2 linked regions of the Danio rerio genome follow. The protein of the gene in region 1 purifies or fractionates together with the protein of each later gene. This does not show direct contact. Links are inferred from orthologs where the notes say so. Each region holds a gene or a part of one and is shown in the gene's direction. Other genes may lie near its edges.

What was found. Proteins that work in one complex are often made in the same cells at the same time.
Region 2: the proteins of rnf146 (region 1) and parp2 purify together in Homo sapiens (affinity purification with mass spectrometry; 4 studies listed by BioGRID and IntAct, counting the BioPlex papers as one, with this or other methods). This does not show direct contact. The link is inferred for Danio rerio from reciprocal best matches to the Homo sapiens genes RNF146 and PARP2.

The regions. Positions count from the first base shown.
Region 1 is NC_133198.1:43,852,523-43,859,918, reverse strand, and holds the start of rnf146 (E3 ubiquitin-protein ligase rnf146), read left to right. Parts: upstream 1-2,861; 5' UTR 2,862-3,081; intron 3,082-6,401; exon of another isoform or gene 6,402-6,438; intron 6,439-7,396. UniProt on the Homo sapiens protein: E3 ubiquitin-protein ligase that specifically binds poly-ADP-ribosylated (PARsylated) proteins and mediates their ubiquitination and subsequent degradation. May regulate many important biological processes, such as cell survival and DNA damage response.
Region 2 is NC_133177.1:40,865,228-40,872,021, forward strand, and holds the end of parp2 (poly [ADP-ribose] polymerase 2), read left to right. Parts: intron 1-1,319; coding exon 1,320-1,383; intron 1,384-1,534; coding exon 1,535-1,669; intron 1,670-1,783; coding exon 1,784-1,911; intron 1,912-2,074; coding exon 2,075-2,174; intron 2,175-2,304; coding exon 2,305-2,403; intron 2,404-4,604; coding exon 4,605-4,729; intron 4,730-4,815; coding exon 4,816-4,975; 3' UTR 4,976-5,179; downstream 5,180-6,794. UniProt on the Homo sapiens protein: Poly-ADP-ribosyltransferase that mediates poly-ADP-ribosylation of proteins and plays a key role in DNA repair.

The DNA.
Region 1 (7,396 bases):
ACACACCATGTCATAAAGCGCGAATCATCTCTGGTTTCTTGAATATGACAATGAGTTCACTGTACTTAAATGGCCTCCACAATTACCAGATCTCAATCCAATAGAGCACCTTTGGGATGTGGTGGAATGGGAGATTCACATCATGGATGTGCAGCCGACAAATCTGCAGCAACTGCGTGATGCTATCATGTCATTATGGAATGGCCTCCACAATTACCAGATCTCAATCCAATAGAGCACCTTTGGGATGTGGTGGAATGGGAGATTCACATCATGGATGTGCAGCCGACAAATCTGCAGCAACTGCGTGATGCTATCATGTCATTATGGACCAAAATCTCTGAGGAATTTTTCCAGCACCTTGTTGAATCTATGTCACAAAGGATTAAGGCAAATCTGAAGGCAAAAAGGGTAGTATGGTGTACCTAATAAAGTGGCCGGTAATTATATACTGTAACAATAGTAATGATGCTGCACAGCCCTAGTTCATAACTCCCAATAAATAAATAAAAAATGTTTCTTTAAGGAAAGTTTGGTGAGCAGAGGTAAAATAGAGACTTATGGGGATGAAGCATCCTCAGAGGAGGTCTCGTATGAAAGATCTCCTGTGGCCACTGTCATTCACACTGAGAGGGTTTGTATGCGTCGTACTAAACAGCTGTGGAAAATGAGCACTCATTGATTTCATGCATATGGCACCCACGCACACACACACACACTTAAGACTTCCACTACAACACAGCCATCCTAGCGTAACAAAGCCACAGGGAATATAAGAATTCTTTTTTCCGTTCTAATTTAAGCACATCTCTCATTTAATGCTGTGTATTACACACGATTGCACGCATCAACTGATTATCTCTGCATCACAACACTAGGAAACAGAGAAGAGTTATTTGATCTACTATGAAATGGCATTCCCTTGAGCACAGATGTGACAAAGAACATCCAGCAACATGAGAGTTTACAGTGTAATACACCAAAAACAAGGCTGCAGATGGACTGCAAGCGTGTCTGGTGCACATGCCCAATTCCTGCAGGCTTGTATGTGTGAATATCATATTTTAGGAAAGGCACTGGAACTGTTTATTACTGTACTGCCTCCTATAATTGAGATTAATGCAGTTCGGCGAGCACAACATGGAAAGACGCCAACATTATAATCTGATCCTCTGCACCAGGTGTTGAGTTTTCAGGAGCTGTTTAATAGGAAAGCGTCTGGTTTGGAGTACAACTACAATGTGACGTGGCCTTAACCTACTTGCAACAAATAAAAATAGATTTCTTTTCTAGTTGAATTAGTTGGTTATGTAGACAGATTTACTGCAAATCCCCAAAGGACAAGCATCTGTTTCCTACTTTTTTTTTTCTTCTTCTGCCTGGCACAATTGTGCCATCTAGTGACACTGTTGAAGATAAAATACTAAATGGACGGATGTGGTCAGTCTCAGAAAGGCAGTCTGACACCATGTGAGAGTGAGACTTTGCCATGTCAAAGAAAATTCACAACTAGATCTATTATATATATATATATATATATATATATATATATATATATATATATATATATATATATATATATATATATATATATATATAGAGAGAGAGAGAGAGAGAGAGAGAGAGAGAGAGAGAGAGAGAGAGAGAGAGAGAGAGAGAGAGAGGGAGAGAGAGAGAGATTTTTGAAGGTTCAAGCGTCTAAGTTTTGTTAATTTGTATAATCCTGTTGAATGGAGGACAAAACCTGCTACAACAATAAAATAAATAAATAAATAAATAAATAAAAATGCAAATAGATAAATAAATGTGCAAATAAATTCACAAATTCATGCATAAATAAAACCATGAATAAATATGCAAATAAATACATATAAAAATACATACATTCCTGCATGAATAAATATTTTAAAAATTAATAGAGCGGGCAAGTAAATGCCATCATTGGTCGATCTTTTTGCAGGTATCGGCCTCCATAATCTTTTTTTTTTAAACAAATCAGATTTATTAATTATATTCATTAAAATAATAGTTGGTTCCTAAACATCTTTAACAAATAACTTGATGCATTTTTTTTTATTTCTCTATGTTTTTCTTTTTTTTTTTTTTACATTTTTACGTAATATTTTTCCCTTACATATACATTTGTAGACCATTATCATTAGTTTTTTCATTAGATTAGCTCCATGTTTAACAAAGAACTGTCTAATTTAATGTATATGAACAAATATAATATTATTTTAACTGTTGTATGTATGTGTGTGGGTGTGTGATAGATAGATAGATAGATAGATAGATAGATAGATAGATAGATAGATAGATAGATAGATAGATAGATAGATAGATAGATAGATAGATAGATAGATAGATAGATAGAATATTTACATGATATTCTAAATTCTACTTAAAAAAATACCATGGTATACATTATATATGTCGAAAAAAGCATACCTTAACATCAGTTGTCTATTAAGCCTCAATTGGTCCATCAGTTATTTCATTTAAAACATGTAAGAAGACTCATAAAACCTTCAAAGTGTATGCTACTATCTGATAAGGCAACAATAATATATAAATGTATATAAACACAACGACTCTTCAGACTCTTATTTGAGTTCATTTGAACTATTCTGGTAGGCCATGCTATTTGTTTGAAAAACCTACAACATATATTTAGAAAATACTTCGAAAATATTGTACTTATATCAAATACTTAAATGATTTGCACCTTTTATGCTGGGTTTCAAGAGGATTTGGATGCATGGCGTTCGGGTATTGTTTCTCACGGTCAGTCAGCATACTTGAAAACACGAGCAATCGTGTATCTCTTGATATAAGGGACTCCCACTTCGGAGGGTTCTGCGCAGGTTTTGCGCAGAGCGGATGCGCACGAACACACTTCAGCCGTCTTATTATCTCAGAGGAGCCGTGAAAACATTATTGTGTTCATCTGTGTCGAGCGAATTCTGGCGTTACCGATCATTTCACATCAATAAACGAACAATGATCGATCATCCGGTGACTAGCAGATGAGCCAGATCTAACCGTCGCTTAAAAAAGGCGAAAATTCGGCTACATTGTCAGGTGAGTAAACTGAAAGACATTGGGAGAAGACGCAGCAAAATCGCCAAAAATATAAATATATATTCAAGTAAGCCGAATGATGATGAAGATATGCCATTTTACATGTTTGTGTTGTATATTTCGACAACATTGAAGTGTCGAGGGTTTGTTTTTTAATGTGAAAAAGGCTGTTCTTGCTGTGTTTTGGTCAGGGTGTTGTCCTGTCTACAGGCCTCAATCTGATCTATCAAATATCAGATCTCAACATCAGCACATTCAAAACCTCAGAAATATCACGTTTGAAAGTGTTTGTAGAGATATCATTGGTTAATGTACTAGTTAAATGTGTACATAGGTCGATTTTTGTGTTTTCTGTTGAGTTGTTGAGGGATTTGGGCCTGTAATGCAATTTAAAAGAACGCTCATCCCATTTCTGCTAACCTACATAAAACCAATATTGTGTTTTATTGATGCAATATAACATAACGGATCTATCGTTACTGTTAACAGTGTCGTTTTCAATATGTCTATTTTGTTGTCAATATAACCATTTGCTGTATGAGTATTATTACATATTTTAAATTATATTGTTCTCAACCAATCAGCCTAAGTTAGCCTTTGTTACTTTTGTTTACACGTTTTATGTCTAACGTTAGTAGTGTAGTGTTTGTATTTGACATAATTATTTTTATAATACAAAATAAGTTAATGGATGGTATTACTATTATATATATATATATATATATATATATATATATATATATATATATATATATATATATATATATTTATATATATATATATATATATATACACTTATATCGTTTGAGCATCGATATTATTTTTTTTATACAATAAAATTATAATCGGTTTAATAATTTGTTATCTATATGATACAATTTTTTTTTACACTTGATTTTTTTTTTTTATTTCTGTACTTGCATACTGCTAGACTCCCCGGAAAGCCATAAAGAACTGTTTATTTATTTTTACTCATAACTTATTATAATTTTTGCAGATGTACTGCATAAAAAAAATACTTCACAGTTGATCTAGATGAAAAGGGCTTTTAAAATCATTAACTTTTATTAATATTACAATTTATATTATGGCACAACATAACATTACAATGTCAGATTTTTTCAATATTGTGCAGCCCATATATATATATATATATATATATATATATATATATATATATATATATATATATATATATATATATATATATATATATATACATACATACATACATACATACATACATACACACACACACACACACACACACACACACACACACACACACACACACACACACACACACACACATATATATATATATATATATATATATATATATATATATGTGTGTGTGTATATATGTATGTGTGTGTGTGTATATATATATATATATATATATATATATATATATATATATATATATATATATATATATATATATATATATATACACATTTAAGTGTTAAATACAAAACTATTGTAAGGCTATTATTGTTCTACCACTTTAAATCAAGCTCATTGTAGACTGAATCTACTGACTTTAATTTTTACTTTCGCAATGTGTTTATTTACAATAGTCACATCGCAGGATTAGATTATTTATTAAAGGTTAAAATTAATACATTTTATTCTTTTTTTGTTTTTTATTATTTATACAATAACTTTTTTTTTTATACCCTTGATTGTTTTTGTACTTGAATACTGTTAGACTGTTCGGAAAACCACAGAGCACTGTTTATTTATTTTTGCTTGTAATTTATTATAATTTTTGGAGATGCACTGCATAGAAAAAGACTCCCCAGATGATCTAGATGAAAAATAAAGCTATTTAAATTATCTGGTGAAGTTTTAATTTATATCGTATATGTTTATTATGGCAAAACAAAATATTGCAATGTCAGATTTTTACAATATCTTGCAGCCCTTATATATTTATATAGAAATATAATTGACATTTTTAGATTTTATTATTAATATTTACAACATGTTTATGTTGTATGATGGAAAAAACATTTACATATAAATGTTAAATATGAAACGATTGTATAACTATTATTGTTCTGTCACTTTAAACTTAGCTCATTGTAGACGGTTTATTTATTTTTCCTATTCACAATGTCTATCTGCAGTAGTCCCATCGCAGGATTCTTTTATTCATTGAAGATTAAAATTGATTCATTTTATTATATTTTAAAAATTATTTGTACAATGATAACCTTTTTTATTATTATTTTAAATTTTTTACACATGATTGTTCACTTCCCAGTCAATCTAGATTTAAATAGAGCTATTATTATTATTATTATTCTGCCATTATACTGACAAATTATACTGACTTTATATATTTTTTGCTATTTTTGCACAGGATTTTGTTAAGAAATTATTTTGCGATTTGAAAAACCACACATACAGTAAATAAAAGGTTAATAATCAAATTAAAGCTTCAGCAGGTCTCTCATATAATACATTCAATAATGGACAAAGTATTACTTTACAAATTGTATTGTACATACATTATCTAAAAAATAGCATTTTATTAAATAATAATATTACTGTAATTAGTGTAAAAACTGAACATATATATATATATATATATATATATATATATAAATTTTTATTTATTTATTTATTTTTTTACACGCATTAACTTGTAAAAAAGTTAATAGAATGAATGATGGGCTCAAAAATCTGTGGATTTCTGCGGCTGTGTATTTTGTGTGGGCTAGTTATCAGTATTGATTATACAACATAACTGATTTTATTTTATTTTTTTAACAAACACAAAACATTTTAGTATTTCTTTTATCGGTTTGTTTCAATGGTTCTTTCCCCCCTCTTGTTCATAAACCCGACCTAAAATGAATGTCTGATATTGTAGCATATTCAGTTCTAGCATCATAAAATGTCCCGTAAATGGTTTGCCTGTAAAGGATTTGGGTCATGATATATTTAGATCATTTCTGCGTCTGATTTGGGCCAGATGCTATTAAGAGCACGTTACATGATTTGTGCGATCAAGCCAGACGGATGTATTAGAGACAACTTTACAGATCTGTGACAGACTGTCAAGATTGCGAAGTAGTTGGTTTCTCTCATCCATTGTGTTTCTGGTTTCACTTTTAAAGAGATAGTTCACCCAAAACTGAACATTTACTCATCCTCAAACCTTGATGAGTTTCTTCTGTTGGACACTAATATGAGATTTTGAGTAAAGCTGAAAACCTGTAACCATTGACTTCTATTGTAGGAAATACCATGCAAGTCAATGGTTACAGGTTTGCAACATTTTTCAGAGTATCTTCTTTTGTGTTCAACAGGAGAAAGCAAGTCAAACAGATTTGGATTAAGGGAAGGGTGAGTAAATGATCAGTTTTTGTGCCTTTTAATCTGCTTTCAAATATTAACAGATGTTTTTTTTTTGGTGTGTAGCGCAGGCTTTATTTACATGTATTGCATAAATAGTACCCTTGCTTGTTAAAGTGGAGTACTTATAAGATGAGTAGTTAAAAATGCAAGAGCTTTAATCGCCACAATGAACAAAGAACTCAAGCTGCTGCTGTTTGCTCGTGACTTTAGCCGACTTAGGCAATGTAGTTTGTAAACAGTGTCCCGTTTGTTACATTGCTGACAGCAGTGTGTAGGCAGATTCTGATTCTCTGCATTATTACAAAAATCTCATATCCGATATGAGTCTACTGTATAGACTTGTATACTGATTAGTGTTGTAATGATATGAGCTTTTTCATAGTTGATAATTGTCTATATTCATTCTTTTATATCACATTTTACCTGTTTTTATGTTGTTGTTTTTTACTCATTTTTATTATTCGTTTTTATTTTTATTTGACTTGTTTCTTTTATTTTTGTTTATGTAAAGCACTTTGAATTGCCAATGTGTATGAAATGTGCTATATAAATAAACTTGCCTTGCTTATATATTTACACAGTTTAAGTAACAATTATTAAAAAGTAAAAAGGTAAAAAGTGGCTTTTTTAAAGGAATTAAAGGTTTTAATGAGCCCTATAAATGTATTGTGAAAAATGTAGTAAAATAATTAATTTTCTTTATGATTTCTGTGTTTGTTTATTTATTTATTTATGTATTTATTAAGATATGTTTTAATGTATATTTTTAAATGGTTAAATGTTTTTAATTGTATGATAATCATATACATTCAAACCATTTACGGTGACACTTAAATATATATTAAGGCTGCACAATATATCGTTTCAGCAGCAATTTTTGCAATGTGATCATTGGCAATGCAATGTTGAGTCTGGATTATTATTAAATATTTTGCAAGCATTTTTT
Region 2 (6,794 bases), on another chromosome or scaffold:
GTAAGGTGCACTATTGATCGAAAGCCTGGGGGCACAAGTAAATAGCTTTATTCACCAAGTACACATTAATACATCAAACACTTTATTCTATGGATGCTTAGAAGATTGGTCTCGGCCGATAATCACATTTAATGACTCGATCGGTACTCGCCAATCGCCGATTTCAGATGTTTGTTTATGAGTTTACAAGCAGAAGAAGACGCACGTGTGCTCCTATATATTATACATAGCATACAGCAGCCACAACACGTGAGGAGGTAAATAATGTGTCATCTTTTTTAGCTTTACGTTTGTTAGGTTAAATGAATAGAGCAGTAAAAATATCGCAAGTGCAAATCCCCCTCTCTGTCATAGAGCTATTGAGCTGCTGTGAGACTCTCCGGAAATTCTGTCAGTAGTTGGAGATGAGCAAAATATTTGAACAGTCCTACGTGTATTAAAGCCTTTTTACATATAACAAGTGAAAGGTCTGTGTTTTTGACAATATTACAGGTTCATTAAAAGCTGGCTGGAATGATTAAATAAAATAAAACTTAAACTTAACATATTTTTAACATGAATATTTAACAATATAACTTATTTTAATATACTTATTGCAATAAACAGTACTTTATAGGCCTATTTTCTTTTAGTAAAAGAGTCATGGATTAATGCGCTCCAAACTTTTTCTTGATTGAAACATGTTGAATTCATCTTTTATCATTTGCAATGTTTTCAAATTGCATTGTTTGTAATTTTTCTGTGAAGTTGCTTCTGGCCATGACAGGCTCACCTAAAAGGTTATAAGAGACGTGTTTGAGGGATTATATGCAGCATCCTTAATTTTTTCTCTTGGATAAGGTGAGATCTCCACTTAAGTATTGTGGAAAGAGGGAAAATGTTCTTTATGTGTTATAAAGCTTGAAGCATCAGAATCGGTACTTACATAGTATTGTCCGATCACTGTGACAAGGAATTGGTACTCGCCTCGGTATCAGCTGCAAAAATCCTGATCGGAGCATCCCTACTTTATACACTTTTTTTTCCAATTAACAAATATTTTAATTAAATAAATGCAAACTATAGTTTTTATACATTTCTTTTGTTACAAGATAAACTGAACAACATTGGAAAAAAAGTCTGGCAGTATATTTCAGTATATCTTTTTTAATGTTCAAGAAACTCAAACAGGTTTGGAACAAGCTAAGGATGAGTAAATGATGACAGAATTTTCATTTTTTGGCGAACTATCCCTGTAACAGCTACTATGACACATTGTACATTTACTGGAGTGTATGTGTGCTTATTTATGTTTGTCTGACCAGTTGATCTTCATTTAGGTTGCGGACACCCCCAATAATTCGCTCAGAGGAGGAGCTGAAGGAGAAAATTACTTTGCTCGAGGTTTGTTATTCTAATTGTTGCTTTTTTATTGAGCAAATAGCTGGGGTTTGGCCAATTATATTTCACAGTTTTCTTTTAGATTTGTGTTTTTAGTCAATTTGTACAAGTACACACTCATAGCAAAAAAATGTCATTGTATTCTGTTTTGTAGACTCTAAGTGACATTCAGATAGCGGTTAAAATGGTTCAGTCTAATGTTAAGAGTGACGAGCATCCTTTAGACAGACAGTATCACTCTCTTAACTGCCAACTGCAACCACTGGATACTGACAGCAATGAATACAAGGTACAGTACACAAGACTTGTCTTATTTTGAAATATAATATTCAGTGGGATGTTACATTTTTTTATTTTTAAATATGTAATTTTGTCCTTAAGCACACGCTGTTTCTATCTAAAGGTTATAGAGAAATATCTCAAGTCCACCCATGCACCCACCCATACTGACTACACAATGACTCTTCTGGATGTCTTTGCTGTGGAACGAGAGGTCGAGAAGGACAACTTCAACTCTGAGCTGCAAAACAGGTACTAAACCACCTGCAATCAATTACACTTTATGACCTATCTAATGCTCCGTAAACAGGAACTCCCTTAGACTCTGGATTAATGCATGGCTTTTCTGTATTTAAATATTATTGCCATATATTTGAATGTAGTACAAGTTGTTTTTGTGTGTTTGGGGATGCAGGATGCTCCTGTGGCACGGCTCTCGTCTGTCAAACTGGGTGGGGATCCTGAGTCAGGGTCTGCGAGTGGCCCCTGCAGAGGCTCCTGTGACTGGATACATGGTGAGAGTCACACATATTGCATGAAAAAAAGTCTTTGTGTGTTAGACCAATATGATAGCAATCTTTAAGGGGAACAGTTAACAAAATCTCAAACTCACTCAGGTTTTCTTTTGTTTTCCATTCTGTCTAGTTTGGTAAGGGGATCTATTTCGCAGACATGTCATCCAAAAGTGCCAATTACTGCTTTGCCAGTCAGAAGAACAACCAGGGACTCTTGTTGCTGAGCGAGGTTGGTTTGTAGTATCTAAACAGCAGATCTGCTGTCAGGATTGCTTAATGTTTTTGTGGAAGCCCTGATACTTTGGAATTTACAGGTACACAACTGACCTAAATATATTATGCATTTGTCACATTTTATGATTCAATTCAGAAATAATTTAAAATAGACTACTGGTAGGCCTGAATAAAGCAAAAAAATAACATTACAGGTAGGGGTGTGACGAGATCTTGTGAGACTAGATTATGATGAGATTTCTCGTTGAAATGAAAAGTTGTCTCTTGAGTTGTGATGTTATCATATAGTGTGAGGGTGGATTTATCACTGAAGATTGGAGGCAGGATTGCATTTGAACCGCACATCAAGTGCTTTCCACACACCTGGCAACCCGGGCTGCCTCTGTTGCCCGTTACTCGTTTGCTTGGACGGGTGTGACGTAACCGCTTTTTTTGTTGGAGTCCAGAGGTTGTCGCATCCAAAAGCAAAGGCTGCATAAACTGCCATCACACAAATTAATCATGGACATTAACATGTGATAAAATAGTCATAATCATCATAAACACAAATCGAATTAAGAATTGTGGAGTATTGCTATTGAAGTGCAGCACAGACATGTAAGCACTGTAATCAAACTATAACCGTCATGTGGAACTTTTAGGCAAAAATTTTTGACAGGGTAAGCCATATACACTCGGTTGTTTGACACTATTTTCTGCCCCTACCAAGTCAATAAAGGACCACAGACACACACCTCTCTAAATCTCTGGGTGTGTGCGCACACACAGTGAACTCCTAGAGACACACACCTGTCATCATCATCAACAAACACACTTTTTTTGTTGTCTGGGAAAAAAAGGGGTTTGATTCTATGATTCATTCTATGATATGATTCTCATGTGAAATTGTACAGGGAAAAGCAAGTTAGTAGAGTTTATGGCAAAATATTTTGCAGGGTTGCATGTCCTTTACTGCATAGAATTCATTAAAATAGAAGTAATATAACATTCAATACAGGATGGTTTTAAAAAGCATTTTTTATTTGCATTTTGTGATTTTTTTTTTTCAGGTAAATATACATCTATTTTACATTCATGTATTAACAAGTATTTTGCTAATATTTAAAAATATACATAAACAAGATTTTACAATAATATATTAGCAAAGAATTCTGCATAGAATTAATTAAAATATAAGTAAAATAACATTCATTACAAGTTGATTAAAAAAAGTACCTAAATAGTTTTTTTCCTGTTGAATTTCATCATTGAAGATTTCTTTAAAAATAGTTTAAAAATCTCATCTTGTCTCTTTCTTCTGAACCCAATCTCATGTCTCGTGGAGTGTCTTGTCACACCCCTAATTACAAATGTTATAAAAATTTATTTTATATCCCTGAACTTAGCCCCCCACAATTCATTTACATATAATAGAGTAAATGGTAAATTTTAAGTATAAACAAACTGAAGTTATAGTGGATTTCACTATACAGTTATCATACACATACATTTTATTTAAAGCAAATCTGAAAGCACTGAAGCTTCTCTCTGATTTAATAGAAATGTAAATGTTTGCACACTTTGCACTTGTTTTGCTTGCATTACATTAATTGTATTGAATAAGTCCCTTTGGAATTAGTCACAGCGCATTTCAGGTGATTAAGAAATTTGACTTCAACATTACTTGAAAATATGGTAAATAGAAAAAAACAGTCTTTTGTGTCTTTTATAAGTCTGAATGCTGCCATTTAAAGCAGACCGTGACCTCTTAATACATGAATATCTGTCCTCTTCCTCTGAAATAACAGGATGTGGTGCCACAAGATACGACCACAAAAAATACCAAACAATTCAGCAAAACTTATTATTTCCCATCAAAGTTGTGCTGTTTCATACAGTGATTATAAATGCATCTTATTACTCCAGATCTTTATTTCTGTGTATGACAGAGGAATTTCTGATTGTATTACTCCCAGCTGATTAAAACATTCAGTGAGCACATTTAACCATCATCACACAACGTTGTTTGGGACGGCTGTTCTGTTTGCAAAATATACATCAGAAAAGATTTGTTTAATATCTTTAGGTTCACTTTTAAGTGAACCAAGAGCAAACAAACTAAAATAGCTAAAAGTGTGAATAACACCCCATCTCTAACTGCCATTTTAAAATAACGTGACTGCTGAAGTGTCATTTTGTCTACTTTTCTTACCACAGGTTGCCCTTGGAGATAGTAATGAACTTTTGGACGCAGATTACAATGCCGACCAACTGCCTTCTGGGAAGCATAGCACAAAAGGTCTGGGTCAAACTGCACCAGACCCCAAAAAATCAGTTTCATTGTGAGTCTCTTTTCGGTTTTTAACTTGAGATTTTACACAATTGCATCCTTAGTGCTGTACTGACGTTTTCTCCTGCTGTCTTTCAGGAATGGTGTGACTGTGCCCTTGGGACCCTCTGTGAAGACCGGTGTTGGCCAGAAAGGAGGATACTCTCTTCTTTATAATGAGTACATTGTTTATAACCCTGCTCAGATTCAGATGAAGTACCTCCTTAGAGTTCAGTTTAACTTCTCATCACTTTGGTGAGCTTCACATTTTGCACACAGACAGTCTGAACAGTTTGAGGTGAAGGAAAAAACATGTAGCTATGTAGTGTTTCCCTCCAGGAAAAATGTGCATATTGTAACATTAATGTCTGTTTTAACTTTCAAAGGAACCTGAATATGACTAATATGGGACATTTTCTAAGTGATGAATGAATTAATCAAAATAAAATGATATTTCTACCGATATACTGTGATTTTAAGTATTTAATATTATGAATAAGTAACAATAAATCAAAATTAATACAAAATAGCGTAAACATAAGAAGAGAAAGATGATTCTTAATTCATTATTTACTAGAACGCTTTATTAAGTGTTATTTATGAAATGCACATGCCGATTAAATCCACCTTTGGTGTGTTTTAACAGGTTTTATACAGAAGTATTGGACCACCCTTTGTCTGTGTAAATGGTTATTATATAATTGTTACAAACCCCTGATGTTAGTTTAGGTCAGGGGTGGCCAACCCTGTTCCTGGAGAGCCACCTTCCTGCAGATTTCAGTTGCTACCCATATCAAACACACCTGAAACTATTAATTAGGACCTGAACACCATGCAACAATTACAGGCAGGTGTGTTTGATATGGGTTGAAACTGAAATCTGCAGGAAGGTGGCTCTCCAGGAACAGAGTTGGCCACCCCTGGTTTAGGTGAATGGGGTTTGACATTTAAAGTACAATTAAAAAGACATTTATATACACAGTGAATGAAGTGCAAAAGTCAACCAAAACCCGATATACCAAAAACTGACTTTTATTTACAATTCACAGAGGGAACAAAAACAATGAATCAATCAAAAAAAAAAAAAAAAGCTAATAAAAAATATATACTTTTTCAAATATGTACAACAATGGGAAAAACACAAAGACGGAGAAAAACAAGAGAGCTGGCAGAAAAGGACATGGGCGGTAATAAAGAAAAGAACAAAACTCACACAATGTCTAACTCTCCATAAACATCGAACTAACTAAATAAAATGAAAACAAAATAAATTAACACACAAAGAAGCCTACTGAGTATCCTAACTATCTTACTTAATCTATCCAAAAGTACAAGGGGTGGCGCCCCTAACCTAATGTATTTAAAACAAGAGTAGTCCTACATGTTGCAAAATGTGTGTCACATGATCTTCTTACCGGTCTGCTTCGCCTGAGCCTTGTAAATGAATTAAATTAAGAAGTGAAATGGTATGATATGAATGGCGGACGGATGACATGAACACTGATATGGGCAACAACAGAATACACAGACAGGGTTTTCTTTAAATGCAACGCAATAACACAGCAGATGTACAACAGAAACAAGAAGGAAAAGAAGGGGTCTGGCTTTCTTTTTTATGCTGGGTGGTCTTGGTTTATATATATTACCATTTCTTTTTCCTCATTTTTAATAATTGGAAAAGGCTCAAAAAGAGCTCCACAGATTATCATTTTCATCATTTTTAAATGCAATCATAAAGAGTGGACCAGGATTTCCACAGATCATGGAATTTCTGCAATATTGAATTTCAAAAGTGTTTTTCCAAACATTGAGAGTCAGGGATTTTTACATACAGTTGAAGTCGGAATTATTAGCCCCCCTGTTTTTCCCCCCAATTTCTGTTTAACGCAGAGATTTTCAACACATTTGTATACATAATATTTTATATGTTCATAAATGTTCATAATATTCATAATATCTCATTTATAATTGATTTATTTTATCTTTGCCATGATGACAGCACATAAAGACACTTAAACTGACATTCAAAGGCTTAACTAGGTTAATTAGCGTAACTAGGCAGATTAGGGTAATTAGGC